Tamandua tetradactyla: one gene and its partner. Each later gene encodes a partner of the first gene's protein in a complex. Links are inferred from orthologs where the notes say so. Each region holds a gene or a part of one and is shown on either strand. Other genes may lie near its edges. The genes, in order: AKAP13 and PKN1.

Evidence for each region.
Region 2: AKAP13 (region 1) and PKN1 share a complex: the UniProt entries of both Homo sapiens proteins name them as parts of the signaling complex. The link is inferred for Tamandua tetradactyla from reciprocal best matches to the Homo sapiens genes AKAP13 and PKN1.

The regions. Positions count from the first base shown.
Region 1 is NC_135338.1:93,201,731-93,211,340, forward strand, and holds the start of AKAP13 (A-kinase anchor protein 13), read left to right. Parts: upstream 1-5,360; 5' UTR 5,361-5,692; exon of another isoform or gene 5,693-5,736; intron 5,737-5,925; coding exon of another isoform or gene 5,926-6,276; intron 6,277-9,610. UniProt on the Homo sapiens protein: Scaffold protein that plays an important role in assembling signaling complexes downstream of several types of G protein-coupled receptors.
Region 2 is NC_135337.1:88,508,409-88,518,515, forward strand, and holds the start of PKN1 (serine/threonine-protein kinase N1), read right to left. Parts: upstream 4,505-10,107; 5' UTR 4,450-4,504; coding exon 4,411-4,449; intron 3,815-4,410; coding exon 3,511-3,814; intron 2,296-3,510; coding exon 2,144-2,295; intron 1-2,143. UniProt on the Homo sapiens protein: PKC-related serine/threonine-protein kinase involved in various processes such as regulation of the intermediate filaments of the actin cytoskeleton, cell migration, tumor cell invasion and transcription regulation.

The DNA of each region.
Region 1 (9,610 bases):
ACTCATTCCACATGAGTCTTGATTACTGGATTTACTGGAATCCTTTAAAAGAGGAAAAATTTTGGGGAGATCCATCAGAGCCATGGGAGAGCCAAGAAAACCACAAGAGCCCACGCTGCCAGAGACCTTTGGAGATGAAGATGCAATACGCCCATGGGAGAGCTTCATGAAACAAGAAGCCTAGAGAGAAAGCTAGCACACAAGGACATGTCCACTATGTGCCTTTCCAGTTGAATTTTTTAGAGTTCAAGAACGTCATTGGACTCATTCTTGAACCAAGGTGTCTTTCCCTGGATGCCCTAAATTGGACATTTCTATAGCCTTGCTTTAATTTGACATTTTTCACAGTCTTAGAACTGTAAACTTGCAACTTAATAAATTCCCCTTTTAAAAGCCATTCTGTTTCTGGTATATTGCATTCCAGCAGCTAGCAAACTGGAACACTGGCACACAATAAACTTTTAATAGATATTTGCTGAATGAATTGAGAAACAGACAAGAGCACTGATGGGGAATCGTCAGCTCATGGATGGTATTTCAGTTTGCTAAAGCTGCTAGAATGCAATATACCATAAATGGGTTGGCTTTTACAAAGGGGCTTTATTAGTTTACAAATTTACAGTTCTAAGACCATGAAAATGTCCAAATTAAGGCCTCAAGAGGAAGCTATCTTGACTCTGAAGAAAGCCCAATGGCATCCAGGGTTCCTCTGTCACATGTGAAGGCACATGGCCACGTCTGCTGGTCCTTCCTCCAAAATGTCTCTGGGCTTCTGCAGGTCCTTGCTTGTTTCTCCCAGGACATTTCTGTCTCTGTCTCCAAGTCTCTGCGTGAGAAAAAAAACAAGTCTCTGGGTGTTTCTTTTCTCTTCCTTAATGTCTCTGAGCTCTGTACTCTGTGTCCTCTCAAAATTTGACTCCAGTAAAGGATTAAGACTCACCATGAACTGGGTGGGTCACATCTCCATGGAAACCACCTAATCAAAAGAGCCCATCCAACAATAGGTCTGCATGAACAAGCATGGATTAGAAGAACATGGCTTTTCTGGGGTACATAACAGTTTCAAACCAGCACAGATAGTGTATCAATTAGGATCTAGTGGCTACAAGTGATAGATACCTGCACTCTGACAAGCTTTATTGATTTACATGATTGAAAGTCACCATGTTGTTCTAGCTTCAGGTGTGTCTGGATTTAGCAATCAAAAATGTCACCAAGATGTTTGTCTTCCTCTTGCTCACCTTTCCACTGTGCTGGCTCCATTCTTTCAGGAAGGTTCTTTTCTCATGGTGACAAGAGGGATGACAAGCATATCCTTTGAAGTTCCAGTTGAGAAAGACTAGGTCTGCTTCCCTGATAGCTCAAACAGAGGGTAGAATCTATTCCTGTTGCCCCTGACTGGCCGGTTTGGGGTCATGTGCCCAAGTCTGAACTAATTACCATTTCTTATGGATAGAATACATTGATTGGCACAGGACTGGATTGCGTGCTGAGGCCATGGAATTATGGTGGAGTTGACTTCATGCTAAGCGAGGCCCTGGAGGCAAAAGTTCCCTCAAAGTGACATCGGGGCAGTATGTCTACCACAAAAGCAACGAAATGTCCACTGCTGTGAAAGAAGAGGCACTGGGACTTTCAAGAACCATGAGTTTCAAGGGAAATGTGTATTCTTACAAGTGTATTCATTTTGTTTTTTCTCTGTCTTCACATTGCCAGGGATTGCTGTAAAATGGGGTTATATCCTTGCTACATTTTTATCCTTTTATATTTTACAGAATGCATGTCTAGTCGACATGGAGAGACATGTCAACTAGAGTGGTAATTCAGAGTTACAAATTCCTGCCATTGCTTGATAAAGTCCTGGCATCTTTCCTGGCTTGTAAGTTCACTCTGGGAAAGTGAGAAAATTGTTCAACCTGAGATTTTTTTCTGGTAAAATGGGGCACATTGTATAGAGATATGGGTGACTTTCTGGAGAACAAATCTTTAGTATTAGGAACACTCAGTTTGAGGGCGCCTCAGTGGCCTTCTGCACACGTTCCTTCTTGCAAAGCTTTTATGGAGGCCCTGTTGTGCAGCAGACACTGTTATAGGTGCAGGGGAGTGGGAGAGGCAAGCAAAACAGGCTTCAGGGAGCTTACATTATGGTGGGGGAAATAGTCAATAAACACAGACAAAATAAATAAGGTACTTTCTGATTGGGATAAATGCTATGAAAAAATTGAAGTAATAGGAACAAGAGGGATTAGGACTGGCTGGTCAAGGAAGGTTTCTCTGAGGAGGGACATTTGAGCTGAGGCTCTGCTGTCTGGGAAACTTAGAGTAGACCCTCAGTTCTCAAAATGGGGTCCCAGACAGTGTCAGTATCATCTAAGAGCCTGCTAGAACTATAGAATCCCCAGATCCCACCTGTGCTGGTTTGAGGCTTTTGTGTACCTCAGAAAAGCAATGTTCTTTTTCCTAGTTCGATCTTGTGGAGGCAGAGTTATTGTTTGGGTGGGATCTTTTTGATTAAGTTTTTTTCTGTAGAGATGTGACCCACCCAATTGTGGGTGGAGCCTTTTGATTAGGTAGATTCCATGGAGATGTGTCTTCACCCAGTCAAGGTGGGTCTTAATGCATTTACTGAAGTCCTTTTAGACGGAACCATTTTGGAAAAAGCTCAAAGCTGACCCAGACAGAGATGTTTGGAGATGCAGAAAGAAAATGTACCTGGAAAAGCTGTTTGAAACCAGAATCCAAAGGACCAGCAGATGCCAGCCCTGTGCCTTCCCAGCTAACAGAGGTGTTCCAGACGCTATCAGCCTTTCTTGAGTCAAGGTATCTTTCTCTGGATGCCTTAGTTTGGACATTTTTATGGTCTTAAACTTGTAACTTAATAAATTACCTTTATAAAAGCTGATCCATTTCTGGTATATAGCATTCTGGCAGCATTAGCAAACTAAAACACCACCCCAGACCCACCAAGTCAAATCCACATTTAAACAAGCCCTCCCAAGTAATTCGTAGGCACAGTGAACTTCAAAAAGTGCTGGGTTTTCTGTAGCCCAACGAGAAGGTATAAATTCTGCCAAGATGGGGGCAGGGGCTCAGGGAATGGTGTTGTCTGTGGTCACTAGAAAGATGACATGTTCACATTTGCTCCTGCCTCTATAACAGACTGCCCAGGCTCTAACAGAAGGCCATGGAATTATTAGATGTTAGGGTCTAAGTGATTTTCTTAGGCCCTTTGCTTTATAGGAGACTGAGATTCTGGTAGGAGGAATGACCTGCTACTGTTAACTTCTTGGTGGCAGAGTCAAGACCAGAATCCAGGGGTATCTTCCTTCTGAGCCACCTTTTAAAGACTGAGCACAGTGTGGGGTCCAGAAACAATTTCACACGAAGAATAGATAAAGGAACTGGGGGTGTTCAGCCTTGGTTTTTATCATTCTGTGAGGATGAACTAAGAACACAGAGGTAAGAACCAGGTCTACTTAGGGGGAAGCAGATTTCCACTCAGCCTTAGGGGCGTGTCTAAGATTTAGTGCTGTGTCTAAGATTTAGTGCCATCTAACAATGGAAGTATCCAACACAGATTAGGAAGTAGTTATATGACCCTTTCTCAGGTATTTGGTCTCTGGTAGAGAAGTTACCCCAACCCTGGTTTCCCAAAATGCAGTCATTTGCATCTGTCTATCTATCTATCTGTCTAATTTGCCATATCCTGAACCAATATATTCTTTTTTTTGGAGATTTAAAACCCAGGCTTTTTAAATGGCTGAATAGTCACAGTTCTACAACAATTAGATATGTTTATAATAGAAATAATTTCACTTTTTTCATCATCACAATCAACTTTTTTTTTCTTTTTTGTGAAAAATAGCATACCAAAAAGCAATAAATTTCAAAACATATCACAACAATTTAGTTAGATCAGATTTCACAGTTTGGTATGGGTTACAGTTCCACAATTTTAGGTTTTTACTTCTAACTGCTCTGAGATACTGGAGACTAAAAGAAATATCAATATAATGATTCAGCAATCATATTCATTTGTTAAACTCTACCTTCTCTGTTATAATTCCACCATCACCTTTGAACTTTCTCCCACTGTTTAGGGGTATTTGGGCTTTCCCTATTCTAGCTTTTCATGTTGGAAGAGGCTGTTGATAACAGGGGATAGGGAGATGGAACTAGCTGATGTGCTGGAGAGGCTGGTCCCTCTGCATTTCAGGACTTATCTGGTTCACGGACCCATCTGGAGGTTGTAGGTTTCTGGAAAGTTACCCTAGTGCATGGAACCGTTGTAGATTCTCCAGTGAAGCCCTCGGTGTTCTTTAGGATCGGCAGGAATGGTTTTGGTTGGGGCTGAACCAGTGTATTCTTAAAACTGTGGTATAAAATACATGTGTAAAGTTTGTAAAGTGGACTAATCTTAAGTGCTCAACTGGATGAATTTTTACTTATGAATATACTTGCATTATCACCATCCAGATCAAGATATAGAACATTTCCAGCACCACACAGGGGTCCCTCCTGCTTCTTCCCAGCCAGTAGGGGACCCTTTTCCCTACGGAGCCACTGTTCTTCAGTGAATCACTATCAGTTTCATATAAAGTGCCTCCATTTTTTTACATAATATTTTTATTTAATATTTTTCTATACTTTTGTGTTAATATTTTTCTTTCACTTTTTTTTTTTTTTTTTACAATGTTCTCACTCGATCTAATGATTTGACTGTTAGGCATAGTTTTTCCTTAATACAAATGAAATAAACACATTAGCTAAATACAGAAGTTTCTTCGTGTACCAACTAATATTTTTTCCTGGGCCACCACTGGTAGAGTGACCACATTTTGTTTCTCAAAAGCACTAGATAATTTGAGGTCCTTTCCGACCCAAAGGCTATGATTTTGTGGTGATCGAGTTGCCAAAAGTTCCCGGAATGCACTGTTCCAATCCTGATCCCACCATAGCTCCATCTGTCCGTCCGTCTGTCCATCCATCCATCCAACTAACACTTGCTGCATACTTAGTAACGATTCGCCTAAGCGCTGGTGACACATAGAAGACTACACAGCACTTCCTGATTTCAAGAGGGGGAAAATAGAAGAGTAAATCATATCTATATGTGTGGGAGGTGCCTACAGCTCAGGTAAGCATCAGGCACACACAGGAAGAGCGGTTTCCGGAGACAGGGCGGAGAGGATTTCCAGGGACCGGGTGGGTGGGCATTTCCCAGAGCAGCCGCTGCAGCCACTCCACTTTGATCACTTTGCTGCGGCCCAGCAGCCGCGGTCAACCTGAGTCTCCCCTAGCAACAAGCACACCGCCCAGGTAACTTCCTATTGGTCTCAGGGATCTTGATGGGCAGCTCTGACGTGCAATCCTAGCTCGGGGCCCTGGGCTCGGTGCTTATTCACGGGAGGGCTTGGAGGAGTTACCGCCCTCCTCAGGGACCCCTCCTACCCTGGAGTGGCTCGCGGCGCATGCGCAGGAGGGCTGAGGCTGTGTGCGGGACCAACGCAGAGCAGGAGCAGCTACGGTGAAGTACTTGGGCTCTTCGAGACCGCCGTGTCCGCTCCTCTCCTCGGCTCGTGCCGCTTCAACCACCGTCGCAGCGGGGGGAGCAGCCGCCTGTTGTGTTTCTCTGAGGCGAAGGTGTGGAGCTGTCCGGCTCGGCCCGTGGGAGAGCCCCGGGCGCCGCGCGGTGAGAGCGCAACTTAGTTGGCGGAGTTGGGGAAGTTGTGTGATGTGAGTGTGGGGTGGTCGGGGGGCGCGGAGCGGGGGTCCCTCCCCCTGGGCCGCTGGGTCGGGGCGGGGGTCGGGGGGAGGGTCGGGCGGCGCGGGGTGCGCGGGCTGCCTGCCCGCCTCCGCGGACCTCTCCGCGCGCGGCGTCCGCGCTGCTCCGGCATTGTCTGCTCCGGGCCGAGTTGCGCCTTCTCAGGCAGCCGCCCGTCGGGACCGCCGCCGCTCCGCGCTTGGGGGGCGCGGCCATGCCGCCGGGTCGCTAAGGCCTGCGCCCCGCCCTCGCCCCGGGCTTTCCCCCTCCTGGGGCGGGCAGCGGCGGGGGGGCCCCGGGGGCGCGCCGGTGCCTCGGGTTCTGTCGGCCTCGCGACTCCTCACGCCGACAAGTGTTTCGGACGCGACTCCGCGAGGCGACCGCGGAGGGTCAGCTCGTGGGGCGCTGGCCCCCCGCACGCGTTCTCCCGGGGGCGCAGCCGGGACACGGGCGCCTGGAGGGGACGCGCGTGGGCGAAACTCGCCGCGGGAACCGTCCGACTGGCTCAACTTCTACCGAGTTCAAGTGCAGCCATATTTTGCAACCAAACTAAGCATATTTTTGTAAATATGGCCCACTGACACTTTTTTTCTTTTTTGCGAAGCCAACAGTAAAAAAAAAAAAAAAAAGGGAAATCCTCAAACAGCTTTCTTCCTTAGAAGAAATGATAGATTTTTTTTTTGGAGGGGGGAAGTAGTTCTTACAGTGGAGTGATTCCATCACGTAGAAATTTCTAGATCTGACTGTTCGGGGGTTCATGGTGGAAGCTGGATTGAGCAGTACTTTGATGTTCATTCTTAACTTTTGCACTTAGTAAAGTTATTTTGAGAGTTTATTGCCTCAGGCATAGAGAATTAAACTATAAATGCTTTTTCTTAGCCACCTCCTCCCTGCTGCCTTTTATTTTCAGAAGCAGCAGCTTATTCAGTGTTTCTAAACCATTGGCTCGCCAGATCAGGGACGATGCTGCAATTCTTGAAAGTTCTTTTTTTTTTTTGCGAGTTTGTAAGAGAGTTATGATCAGTTGAGAGAAATCAGTGTTACTGTGCTAGTATTCCTTCATGGTCTCTTGGGGATTTGCAGACTGCATTAAGTTCTAGCCTTGTTGTCAAGTTTTGGGTGCACTTATTCCCCTGAATTAATTTCATCTGGCTTATGATGTGAGAAAAATTTTGTTTAAATTTCCCAGATGGAACTAGTTTAAATATCTATCAATTCATAGTGGAACAAAATGACCAGAATGTATTAATTTCAGTTATATATCCTTTTGCCAGGTGCTAAATTAAAATTTTCAGAAATATCAGTTTGCTTTGGCTGCTGAATTTTCTCAAATTAGGAAAGTGCTCCTGGGTCTTTCTGGTTTGACCTCGTTTTGCATTGGAAACCAGCTTTATTCACTTGATGAAGCTGGAGCAAAATTTCTTTAAGAATTAGCATTGTGCTTAAAACAGTTATTGTGGTAACACATACATCGTAATATTTCCCAGTTAACCACTTTCAAGTATACAGTTTAGTGTTACTACATTAACAATGATGGTAGTACTGCATTAGCAATGATGGTAGCACAGTTCTTTAGATTACAACTGCAAAATCACTTTTAGGAGTCACATCCTTGTTCTTAAGGCTTTCTTTGTGCTGTGTGTGTGTGTGTGTGTGTGTGTGTGTGTGTGTGTGTGTGTGTGTGTGTGTGTGTGTGTGTGTAGGCGGGTAGCACAGAGGATGCAGCCAATGAGAAGGCAGAAGTTGGAAGAGGTTGTCAGGGAGGGGCATAAGGTAAACAAATACTGTTTCTGAGTCACCTGAAGGCCAAGCTGTTAGTTGCTTCCATCCTCTGGGCTCTTATAGTATGTTGCATCTACTTTTCTTTTAGGATTTTCTCACACTTCATTTGTTTGCCTAAATAGTAGCTGTACATGTGTATAGAGGGACCCCTGCTCTAGTCTAATGGCTTCTTCAGGGTAAGTGATGGGCCTTATTTAGCTTTATATGTCTACCAGCAGGCAACACAGAAGGTGTTCAATATGTGTTTGAATTGGGGGAGGTCCTTTTTACTAGCTAGTGGCAAAATGCACATGTGCCTTAAGTGTATTTGGGAGACAACCACTAATTCTGGGGACTTGTCCAAAATGACACTTCACTTGTAGACCTGTGAAGATATTTAGTTTCCTTTAAAAGAAGCTCTGTCCTTTCTTCTTTTTTAATCTGTTCATTACTTCTTGGAAAAAAAAAAATACAGGGTTTAAATAGTGTGCTATGGATTTGAAAGGTGATTCTGATTTAGATCTTTTCTTTTTTTTTTCTTCCGTGAAATTACTACGACTGCTGGACCAATCCACTCACATCACTGCCTGTATTTGCTATGTGAAATGGGGTAAGGAACACAATTTAGAGGAAGGTGCACTCTTTGGTAGGAGGTAGATTTTGGTCTTCACACTTCTGTTGACCAGTTATATAGCCTTGAGTGCATTGCTTAATCCCTTGGAGCCTCAGTTTTCTACTCGCTAAGGGGTAGTAACATACTTTATAAGGTTTTTAGGAGTAAATGAAACGATGTGAGGTATGTAGTATTGTGCTTAGCATTTAGTAGGTATCCCTTACCTGGTAGCTGTGATGATAATTTTGATACATTTTTTATATGATTCCATAAGTGTTCTTAAAAATCAGATGCTTCTGAATATAGTAATTTTGCGATTTATAAAAAAAGAATCTTCGTGAGAAATATAATTCTTAATCTAATTGCAACTTTTTTTTTTAAAGACACTCATTGAACTGAAAGTGAATAGAAACAATTGTGGTTTCACCTTCTCAGCCACCTGTCAGTCTTCCTTTGAATGGGGTTTTGGAGCGGCTTGGTAGAAGAGAACTCTCTGGGTCTATAGTTTTGAAAAATGGTGAGGGATTGATGGATTGTTTTCAACACTTTTAATAGGTTATCTGAGTTACTTAAGTTGCAGCTTTCCTTCTTCATTTTGCCTTAGTTTTAAAAAATAAGTATGGATTATGACTCCATTTCTCAGGCTTACGGTAGAACTGGACTGGGTGTTAGCACAGTGTTTGTACAATTAAGAAACCTGAACAAATCACTCACTTCCCCTATTTGAAGATGTCCCCATCTACCGAAGAATGCACTGATAGAAATCAGTTATACCAGCTCAGTTTAGAATACTTACTAAATTACATAGTGGAATAGATGCATTCTAGAATTGTTTACCTGTAAAAGATATATTGAATTTGATGTTTCCATTATTTTTCTTATAAAATCAGGGTAAACATTAGCACCTAAGGATTATAGTAACCTTTTATCGATTATATTTGACCAGACTCACAGATAGGAGTTAAAAACATCCCCGACAAAGCTAGATGTGCAAATGTGGGCTTTTGATGCCCCTCTCTTTTAAAGTTTACATTTAAGTGCACTTGAATGGGCTTGGTTGTCTGTTGGGTCAGGCGTTCCTTTGAAAGCTGTGTTCCCTGGTCAGGCAGTCGTAATGCTGACAGTGGGGAGAGAGCAGGAAGCTATTAGTGAGAGGAAGGTTATTTCCTTCATGTGTCCTCAGATTTATAGTCTTCTAGTTCACCTATAGGTTGATTGAGACATGAGTAGAAGATGAATAGACAGTCCATGATAACAGATGAATAGACAACCCATTCTTGTTGGGAGGATGGACCAGCAGACCTTGTGCTGTGAGATACTGTGATTATATGAATAATTGAGTGGAACAGTGGTGTGCTTTACCATTTTACATATTCATAGCTGGCTTCTGAACCTGGGGGAGGCAGATAACAGTGTGTGCTTGTGTGTGTGTATGGGTATGGGGATTGGGTTGGGGAAAAAGGAAAAGATGT
Region 2 (10,107 bases), on another chromosome or scaffold:
AAAAAGTTTTTAAACATTTTTCATGGGGTAGCATTCAAGCAAAACTTGTACATGCATGCTCATAGGAGTATTATTCACAATCGCCAAAAGGTGGAAAGAATCCAAGTGTCCAGGAGCAGACAAATGGATAAACAAAATATGGTCCATCCATACAACGGAATATTATTTGGCCATAAAAGGAATGAACTTTTGATCCATGCTATTATGTGGATGAAATGCGAAAACACTATGCTCAGGGAAAGAAGCCAGACATCAAAGACCATGAATTTTAGGATTCCATTTGTATGAACTGTCCAGAATGGGCAAATCCAGAGAGACAGAAAGCGGATTAGTGGTGGCTGGGGGTAGGGGGGACGGGGAGTGACCTCTGATGGTGACAGGGTTTCCTTTTGGGGTGATGAGAATGTTCTGGAACTAGATAAAGGGGGTGGGGCAGAACACTGAAAGTGCTTTAATGTCTCTGAATTTTCCACTTTCAAACGGTTGCAGTGGCCAATTTTTTTTTCTAACTTTTCATTTTATAATAATTTCAAACTTTCAGGACAATTGCAAAAAGAATACAAACTCCATTCAGAGAACTCCAACATACACCTACCATGGCAGATATTCCTATCTTTCAATCATGTATCTCTTATCTATGTATTATCCATGTATCTACCTACCTACCTACTTACCAACCTACCTTCTGAACATCTGACAGCAGGTAGCACATGCCATACTCCTTAAACATACAATACTCCTATATACATTTCCTACGAACAAGGCTAGTCACCCTAAGTGCACTCACCAAGTTCAAGAAATTTAACACTGATACAAAGTTTACGTTGCATATTCCAATTTTTCTTATGTCCCTAAAATGTCCTTTTGAGCCTTTTCTCCTCCATTTTCTTAGACTCCATCCAGTACCACATATTATTGCATTTGTCATTATCTCTCTGGTTTATCTTAGCGGGAACATACATGCAACATAAATCTCCATCCCATCCCCTCCCAGGCCTGCCATTCGGAGGGATTTATCACACGCCCGATGCTGCGGTACCCTCACCACTATCCATTACAGAACTTCCCCTCCGTCCAAGAAGAAACCTCACCTCGTTTTGCACAAACTCCCCGTTGCCTCTGCCCCCCACCCCTGCCAAGCTTGACTCCACTTTCTGTCTCTCTGAGCTTGCTTATTCTCTGATATTTTCTTTGTGGTTGCCTGGGACTGAAATTTAACATCCTAAATCTATAACATTCTAATCCATGTCACTTGCTTTGATATCTGTTTAACTTCCAGCTAGCATTGTGACAGAGCTTTCCCTGGATGCCAGGAGCTAACAAGAAGAGAAGAGGAGGCGGTGGAGGAGGAGGTGGTGGGATGAAGAGGAGGAAGAGACACCTATGCAGGTCTTTGCAGAGCGGCCTGGGGGATTGCTTCCATCGGGGGGTTACCCAGACGGTGAGCTCAGAGAGCAGCTCCGGGCCAAAGACAGGGGCCTCCCGGGTCCTTTCTGTGCATGCTCTTGTCTTAGGTCTAGAATCCGCCCATACACCTGGGCACGAACACCCCTTCTTCCCAAGGAAGCAGTGTCCTCAAGGCCCTGGCCACTGCCCTGGGCAATCCCTGCCCCTGGCAGCCACGTGATGGCTTTCCCTGGGGAGCTCTGGGAGCCCTTTGCATGGGCAGGACAAGCTCTGGGACAGCAAGTTCCTCAGGTCACCACCACAGAGCCTGGGCCAGACATCTGACACCAGTGTGTGCATGACGGCCACTGGGCTTCCTCTAGGACCCTGTCCAGGGCCCACCAAAGGGGCAAGATGAGAGGTGGGGGAGGGGCGATGGCCTGTGTTACGATGTGCCTTTTACCACAACGAAAAATCTCCGTGATGGTCCTTCTGACATCACCCCCCCGCCCCCCCAACACAAACACACTCCTCATATGCCCCTAGGAGCTACCTGCATCCCGATCCTGTCTCCAAGTATGCATACAGGTGTGTGTGTGTAGGAAGTATGTTAATAGGGGGCATGTGTGCACACACAGGTAAATGTGTACAGGTATATGTGTGCATGTAGGGTGAGTGCACACCTATGTATGGAATGTGTGTGTAAGATTGTACACGTACGTGTGGGTGGGTGCGTATGTGCATGCATGGCCCCCACCTTGGTGCTGCCGTTGCTGTACGTCTGGATCATGTTTTCGGCCCCCTGCTTCACCTTCAGCTCGATGGCCAGCTGCTTCTCCAGGCCAGCCACACGGCTCAGATTGGTGGCCGAGCAGGCCGAGCCACACGCTCCGGGGGACTGGGGTGCATCTGGAGGGGGCGGGAAAGAGCACGTCACTATGGCCCCCAGCACCAGCGGACAGGCCGGTAGGGGACACCCGGGCCCAGAAACTTCTAGCCACCCCCAGCCACCCCAGGAATATCCCCCCACCCCTCTTCAGTGGCATGACCCAACATAAGTGAGCACAGGCAGGTGGTGTAAGTTCCTGGACATTGGTGCAAGCATGTGTGGGAATCCCCAACTATTTATTCAGGTGTCTGAGTCCTTAGAGGTTAATGCAACTGAGTGTGAGTGACTGTGGGTGTGAGGAGGTCTGTGTGTCTCCCGCCTGCTATGTGTGTAACTGGGAGATGTCAGGTGATGGAACGATCGTGAGATGCCAGGTACTGAGGTGGCCCTATGCATACGTTTCCATTCATACAGCTACGAACTGGGACCCCTGGGTGCTGTGTGAGTCTGCGTGGGAATCTTTGGGTGTTGGTACAGCTGGGCATGTGTGTCTCTGGGTGCTGTCCAGGTGTTGGTGGGACTGTGAGAGAGTCTTCTGGCATTTTCTGGGTGTTGGTATTGACTGTGGGTGAGTCTCAGGGTATTGGTGTGACTGCAGATTGCAGTGTTTGCTATGACTGTATTAAAAGACTTGGTGTTGCCAAGACCACGTGTCCCTTTGGGGTCTTTGGAGCCAGTGTTGCCTGTCTGGGTGTTGATATGACTGCGTGTATGTAGCCAGTGGTGCATGTCTGCCTGTTGGTGCGACTGTGTGTATGTAGCCAGTGGTACATGTCTGGGAGTGGGTGTGACCACGTATATCTCTCTGGAGGTCAGCAGTCGATACTGTGTCTCTTGCTGTTGTGTGACTCTGTGGATAGCTGGGGGTGCATGGCTGCCTGTTGGTGGGACTGCATGTGTACAGCTGGGGGTGTGTGTCTGCCTGTTGGTGGGACTGCATATACAGCTGGGGGTGCGTGTCTGCCTGCTGGTGTGACTGCATGTGTACAGCTGGGGGTGCATGTCTGCCTGTTGGTGTGACTGTGTATACAGCTAGTGGTGCGTGTCTGCCTGTCGGTGCATATCTGCCTGTTGGTATGACTGCATATGCACAGCTGGGGGTGCATGTCTGCCTGTTGGTGTGACTGCATGTGTACAGTTGGTGGTGCATGTCTCTCAGCAGCTGGTACTGTACGCCCGGGCCCAGCGGTGGAGGTGGCATGCGTGCCCCACGCCCCCCGGGCCTCCTAGCTCACCATGGGCGGTGGCCACAGGGTCGGGCAGCACCACGTGGGCATGTAGCTCCTGCAGCTGCTGGTGCAGCAGCTCGAGGCGGCGTGATGAGCCACGCAGCAGCACCTCCACGGGCCCCAGGCTGCGGCCCAGGTCGGTGGTGGCGCGACGCAGGTTCTCCGCGCCTTCCTTCAGCTTCAGCTCCTTGCGTATCTCCCGCCGTAGCCGCTCCCGCTCTAGCTCCAGCTGCTGCTGCACCCCGGGGGCCGCCAGGTCCGCACCCGCCAGGCCCAGCTGCTCCAGCAGGGACCAGCTGCGCGGCTCACTCTGCAGGTGACAGGGCAGGGTCAGAGGAGCCAGGAAGGTTCCCCCCACATCAGGACTCCCAAAAACAAGAGCCTGACCTGCTCTTCAGAGACCCCAAAACTGGCAAGGCCCTGGCCCCCCAGACTAGAGGACCCCCCAGAGACAGCACTGCTTCCTTTTGTCTGTCCTTCAGGCAGTGGACTCCAGAGGGAGGCTCCAGCACCCCAGTGCTGAGCCCCCAAAGGAGCAGGGGCCTAGGGCAGGTCTATCTCCCCTCAGCTGTCTCCCCAAACTAGGAGACGCTAAGGGTAGGCCCTGTGCCCCCTCTCTGTCCCCCCAAAACTAGTAGGTGCTGAGAGCAGGCCCTGCTTCCCCCCCAGCTCCCCCGACCTCTACAATTAGGACCCTAAAGAACAGAGTAGATCTCCTTCCTCCCACGTCTCCCCACTGGGGGAGTCCCAAAGATCCCCAAATCTCTTCTTCCTCCAAAATGAAGACTCTGCAGCCCCCGTCTTATCTCCTCTCCTCTGTCCAAAACTTGGACGTATGGCGGCCAGAGCCCGTCTCCCACCCACCCAGTCCTGTCCCGCTAGTCCCCACAGGGACCCCAGCCCCACCTCCAGCTCTTGGTGGGAAGGGGGTTCAGCCTCCGCCATCCCGGGTCCGAGGTGAGGGCCCCGCCCTCTTCCTGAGCCTCCGCCCTGCCGGGGCCTCTCGCCCGCCACTTCCTCTTTCCTGCCAGCTCCCGGCAGCCCCCACGGCCAGCCCGGGCACCAGGGCATCTCGGGGACCTTCCTTATAACCCCTCCTCCAGGACAAGCCTGCTTCCCCGAGGCACCCTGGTGGGTATGCTCCCATGCCACTGGCATGTATGTGACAAATAGGCATCCGTGAGCATGCACATGCTCCCAAGGCTTGGGTGGCTGCCTGTTCTCACGTACCAGTAGACAAGTACACAAAACACAAGCTCACGCACGTGAACGCAGACTCACAAGTGCATGTACACTCTCCCATCTATGGGTGTGCACACGGAATACAGATTCACTTATGTGTGTACACTCCTGAATCTACAGGTGTGTGCAAGGAACGCAAACTCAGGCATGTGTGCACACTCTCACTTCCACAAGTGTGCACACTCCCACAGCTATAGATATGCATATGGGACAATGATTTCAGGTGTGTGCACATTCCCTCGCCCACGCATGTGTATACTTCTATGCATGTGCCTGAGAATATTTACATGCCCCCCCAAACTTTGTACAATACACGTTCCCACCTGCCCACGTGGGTGCCACACACACACTACACACACACACATACCCACACGCTCTCCGAGGCCCCCATGGCCTCCCCATGCTCCCACGGGCCTTCAGCTCTGCTGATACCTGCGTGTGTCCCTACAGCCAGATGCTTCTGCCCGCCCCTTGTCCCTGACTTCCCCTTTGGGGTCAGGACAGCGAGTGCTACAGAGACCAGGCCCCCTTCCTGCAGGCTGAGGCTGCCCTGACTTCCTGCTTCGTCCCCGACTGGCCCGCTGCTGCCAACCACAGCTGAAAGGCTGGTGGGACCGCCCTGAGGCTGACACAGAGAGAGGACAGCACTGGGGGGCTGGGGCACAGATCAGCCAAAACCAGCAACCCTCACAACGCCAGCTGGGCACATACCAACGGCCAAGCATGCCTATTTCTAATAGCAGTTACTAGAAACTTCTCCCAGATTAACTAACACCACCCCATGTTCCAGATAAGGAAACTGAGGCCTGGGGTGGGGGTGGGGGGTCATGTAACTTGCTCTAAGTTCCCACGGCCAGCAGGAGGCAGGGTTGGGAACCAAAACAGAAGTGGCCAGCACCCAAGCCCGGGTTGGGGGTCAGCATGGCACTAAGTGCCCCATGGACATCACCTCCGTCAGCTGGGGTCACTCACTTCACAGATGAGAAAAGCCGTCGCCATCTGCCCCTGACCAACTGCCACTATTCTCCCCATTAAACAGGCGAAGAAACAGGCGTGGAGGAGTTATAACAGAATTTTGAAATGAGCAGTGGAGGGGAATTTTATATCCACTGCTGGGGGCACTGGGCCATGTCTGGAGATCTTTTTGGTTATCACAACTGGGGGGAGGGGTTTGCTACTGGGACTTAGTGGGTTGAGGTCAGAGCGGCTGCTCACCATCCCATGATGCCCACGTCGGCCCCCCATGATGAAGAATGACCCGGCCCCAAAAGTCAGTGGTGCCCCAGCTGAGAAACCCTGCATTAATTATTCAGGAAAACAATTGGGTTCGGTCCCTAGCTCACACCACACATCAGAATCAGTTCCCCATGAGTGAGACAGCGTAAACCTCTGGGATTTACCTCCTCTGTCCCTTGCCACTCAGTTTGTGTATTTAAACGCATGCAGAATCACAGGACATCAGTAAGTCAGATAATTATGGGATGCAGGGTCTCGGGTATCAATGAGATCCCCTGATCCAGAGTAAATTGGGGTGATTCTGCTCCCAGGGAATATTTGGCAATGGGCAGAGACACTTTCGGTTGTCACACTGGGAGGAGAGGAGGTGGTCCTGGCATTCAGTGGGGGGAGACCAGGAAGGCTCCTCAACACCTTCAGTGCCCAGGATCCAGCTAAGGATGGGACACCATGGTGGAAAGAGTATCGATTTGGAAGCAGCTCCGAGCACTGTCTGGTGTCTATCTCTTCTGGTGACAGGACCGAGGCTCAGAGAGGCAAAGACATTGGCCCAGGGTACACAGTGAGCAAGTGGCAGCCTTGGGGTTTAAACCCAGGCTCCCCTCAAATATCCCCTCCCAAGCAGCTACCCCTATCCTAGACAGGCCGAGCAGGGGTGCAGCCAGGAGCAAGGCCAGCCCAGATGGGGAAGTCCAGCCTCCCTGGGCCCCACCTCCCGGCAGCGGATGCCTGAGAAAATGCAGAGCAGGCAGGGAGGGGGGCCCGGCCTCTCCGGTCCTCCTCCCCGGGTGACTCACTCCTACCCCAGGGTAAGGGGTCACCTGAGGCCCAGTGAGGAGAACCCAGGAATTCAGGGGGCCTAGGCCAGCCTCGGAGAATCCCTGCTTCCCAGAGCAGCCATGGGCCTAGACCCCCATGTCCAGAGATTTCAATGCCTTGGGCGTTTCCAGAATGTGGATAGGACATCCGTTTGCCGGACACAGAACAGACAGGCACATGTCGGGAAAGACAGAGGGACGGGGCAGCAGGCCCAAGATCCACGGGGAAGGGAGGAACAGGAGGGGAGCACAGGGCAGGCAAGGGATTGGAAGGGGGGACCAGGGCACGGGCCCAGCCTCATTCTGGGAGTCACAGCCTTGTCTGGGTCACGCATGGTACATGCCCAACGTATGCATGCACCTGGGGGACTCCTACACAGCCCCCCACCCTGGGCCGGGGGAGGAGGCAGGGACCCCGGCCCACCCCCTTCCCAGGTCTGACCTTGTGCGCTCTGCAACACCAGATACGCCCAGCTCCTCGGCAAGGCTGGCAGGCCATCAGCAGGACTGGGGGAGGGGGGCATGGTGGGTCACGGGGGAGACACAGAGGGGACAGGGGCAGGTGCAGAAGGAGACGAGAACCCGGTTACAATGAGACCACGGGACAAATGACCAGATGGTGGAATGCTGACAGCGGGCACCAGAGGCACAGGGCATGTCTGATTTGGGTCAAGCAATCCAAGAAAGGTCCAAGGCCACCTGCCCTGCTTGTCACTGATGGGGAGACTGAGTCCAAAGCAAGGAGGTCAGAGAGGCCAAGGCAGCGCCTGGATGGTGCCAGTCACAAGCAAGGGGGGTGGCATTTAATGGGGTACACCCCTGGCGCCCACAGGCAAGTAGGATTCCAGGTATGGTGGCAATTCCCCACCTGAACACCCCAGCCCAGCCCACTTGGGAGGGCAGAGAAGGTCCCACCTGCAGTCCCGAGAGTGGGCGTGGGGGGGGCCCCGACCCAATGAGGTGACTCGGGGACTTCCGCCAACAGGTGCTAATCGGGCTGGCGTCGGGGCCATCGTAAATGGTAAATGTCTTGTCGGGAGGCGGGGGCCTCTGGAGCTTTGCGATGCGGGGGAGGGGCCGGGCCAGCGGCCTCCTCCCCTCCCCGGGCCCCGCGCCAGGCACCTGTCCCAGGAGGAGCGGCACCTGCCGGGAGCCGCGTGCCGGGGAGTGGGGGGTGGACAGTGGATGCAGGGTGGGTGACAGGCACCGGGACGCGCAGACCAGCCCCTGACACCCCACGTCGCGCCGCCGCCGCGCCCCCCTCCAGTTCTCGGGGAGGGCCCGGGCTCCGAGGCGCGGCGGGGGCTGCCCGGCCCTCCCCGCACGCCCCCCTCGGGTCCGTACCTCCACCTGTCGAGATGGGGGGCCGGGCTGGCTCCGCGGCTCCCGGCCCGGGAGGGGGCGCCGGGCGCTCGGGAGGCCCCCGCTTGCCCCGCCCCGGCGTGGGGGGTCCCGCCAGCGCGCGGCCCCCGCGGCGTGGGACGCAGGTGCGCCTACCTGCACGGCGTCGCTGGCCATGTCCTCGCGCCGCCCGCCGGGGGTCCCCGCGCGGAGGGAGGAGCCGGGAGAGGAGCGCGCGTGCGCCCCGGGCGGGGCGGCGGGGGCGGGGGGAGGGGGAGGGGGGCGCGCGGCCCGCTCCGACCTGCTCGGCTCCGGCCCCGCCTGGCCCGGCCGCCGCGTCCGCGCGCCGCGCCCTCCGGCCCCAGCGGCCGCCGGGGCCCGCTCACGTGACCGCGAGGTCGGCGCCCGGGGAGGGGGCGGGGCGAGGCGAGGGGGCGCGGCTCCCGGCGGCCCCTGGGGCGGCGGGGTCCCGCCTGCCGGGCGCGCCCCCCTCCCTGCCGGACGGCCTCGCGTCCGCCCCCCACCCCTCCCGCCCCGCGCGCTGGCCTCTTTCTTCGTCCCCCCCCTCCGCCCCGCCCCAAGGAAAGAAGGAGCCACGTTAAAGCGGGGAGGGGCGCAGGGCTTTGGGCGCCCCCGGGGCACCCCGACCCTCCTCCGATGGCGAAGTCAGGCCTCCTGAACCCAGGATTAGACGCGCTGGCTTCCAGGGCACGGGAGCGTCCCCGTCGTCTGGGGACGGGGCTGGTTTCCAGTCCCGAGGCCCCAGGCCTTGGCGGACGCCACGAGCCCCTAAGAGCGCCTCCAGGGGGAGACGGGAAGGAGGGACCCACCCCTCGAGGGTTGGAGACATTAAACCCCAGAGTGGACAGCGAAGTGCTGACAGCGGTGCCGCGCGCACAGCCAGCGCTCAGTACATGTGAGCTGCCGTCGTTTTTTTATGTCACGGTCGTTGTCACTCTTTAAAAGGGGTGGGAATCCCAACTCGGCCGCTGACCTGCAGCGGGCCCTGTGGATCCCCGGGCAGCGCCGAGCCTCAGTTTCCCCGCTGCAAAATGGGGGGCAGTCTCTTCTTCGGGAGCTGCTGCATCTAGGGGGCGCTCCATAAATGCGGCGGAGGCAGGACGGAAACTTCTCTCGCGCGGCCCGGTCTCCCGAGAGTGCAGCAAGCTGGGCTCGCGGCGGCCTCCGGACCCCCTCAATCCCTTGGAAACCCGGTGATAGAGTCAAACGGCCGTCCCCCGGGCTCCGAGCCTGGAGAGCTCCCTGGAGGCGGTGCCTGCGCGTGCTGCGACCTCCCGGGACCAGCCGCAACGCTCAGGGCTGCGGGCGCCTCGGTTACACGTGGCTCGGCTCGGCTTGCGTGGTCCCAGAAACCCAGGCGCAGGGTTTGCTCCTTCGGGCCACTCTCCGGGGATTTAAACAGAGGGAGGAAGGGAAGGAGGAGGCGAGTGAGACCCAGCCAGGAGCTGTCCATTCCTCTCCCCTTCCACCGCCCCCACCTGGCCATTCGCTCACCTGGACCAGAGCAGTCGCCGCCTCCCAGTTCTCTGCGCTCCGCGGCTGCTCCCTGTTTCTCCCCACAGAGACCAGAGAGCCTGCGCAGGGACATCTGAGTCAGGTCAGGCCCCCTCCTCTGCCCAGAACCCTCCATAGCTCCCACCTCCCCCGGAGCAAAAGTTAAGTCCTTCCAGCCGCCGTCACCTCCCTGACCCTCTGGCTTCCCCTCTCGCTCACCCTGCTCCAGCCACGGTGGCCTCCTCCTTTTGTTGATTGAATTAAAACCCTAACAGCTTGTCTTTTGCTCCCAATTTGCAGAGGAAAAAAAGCCCAAAGAGAAGCCTCTCGCCTGGATAACAGTGCCGGGCTGATTGCCGTCTATGACCAGAAGGACGTGACTTCTCTCTCTAAGTTTTCAGGTGACCCATTTCACAGATGGGGAGCATGAGGCAGACTGAGCCCTTTTAGC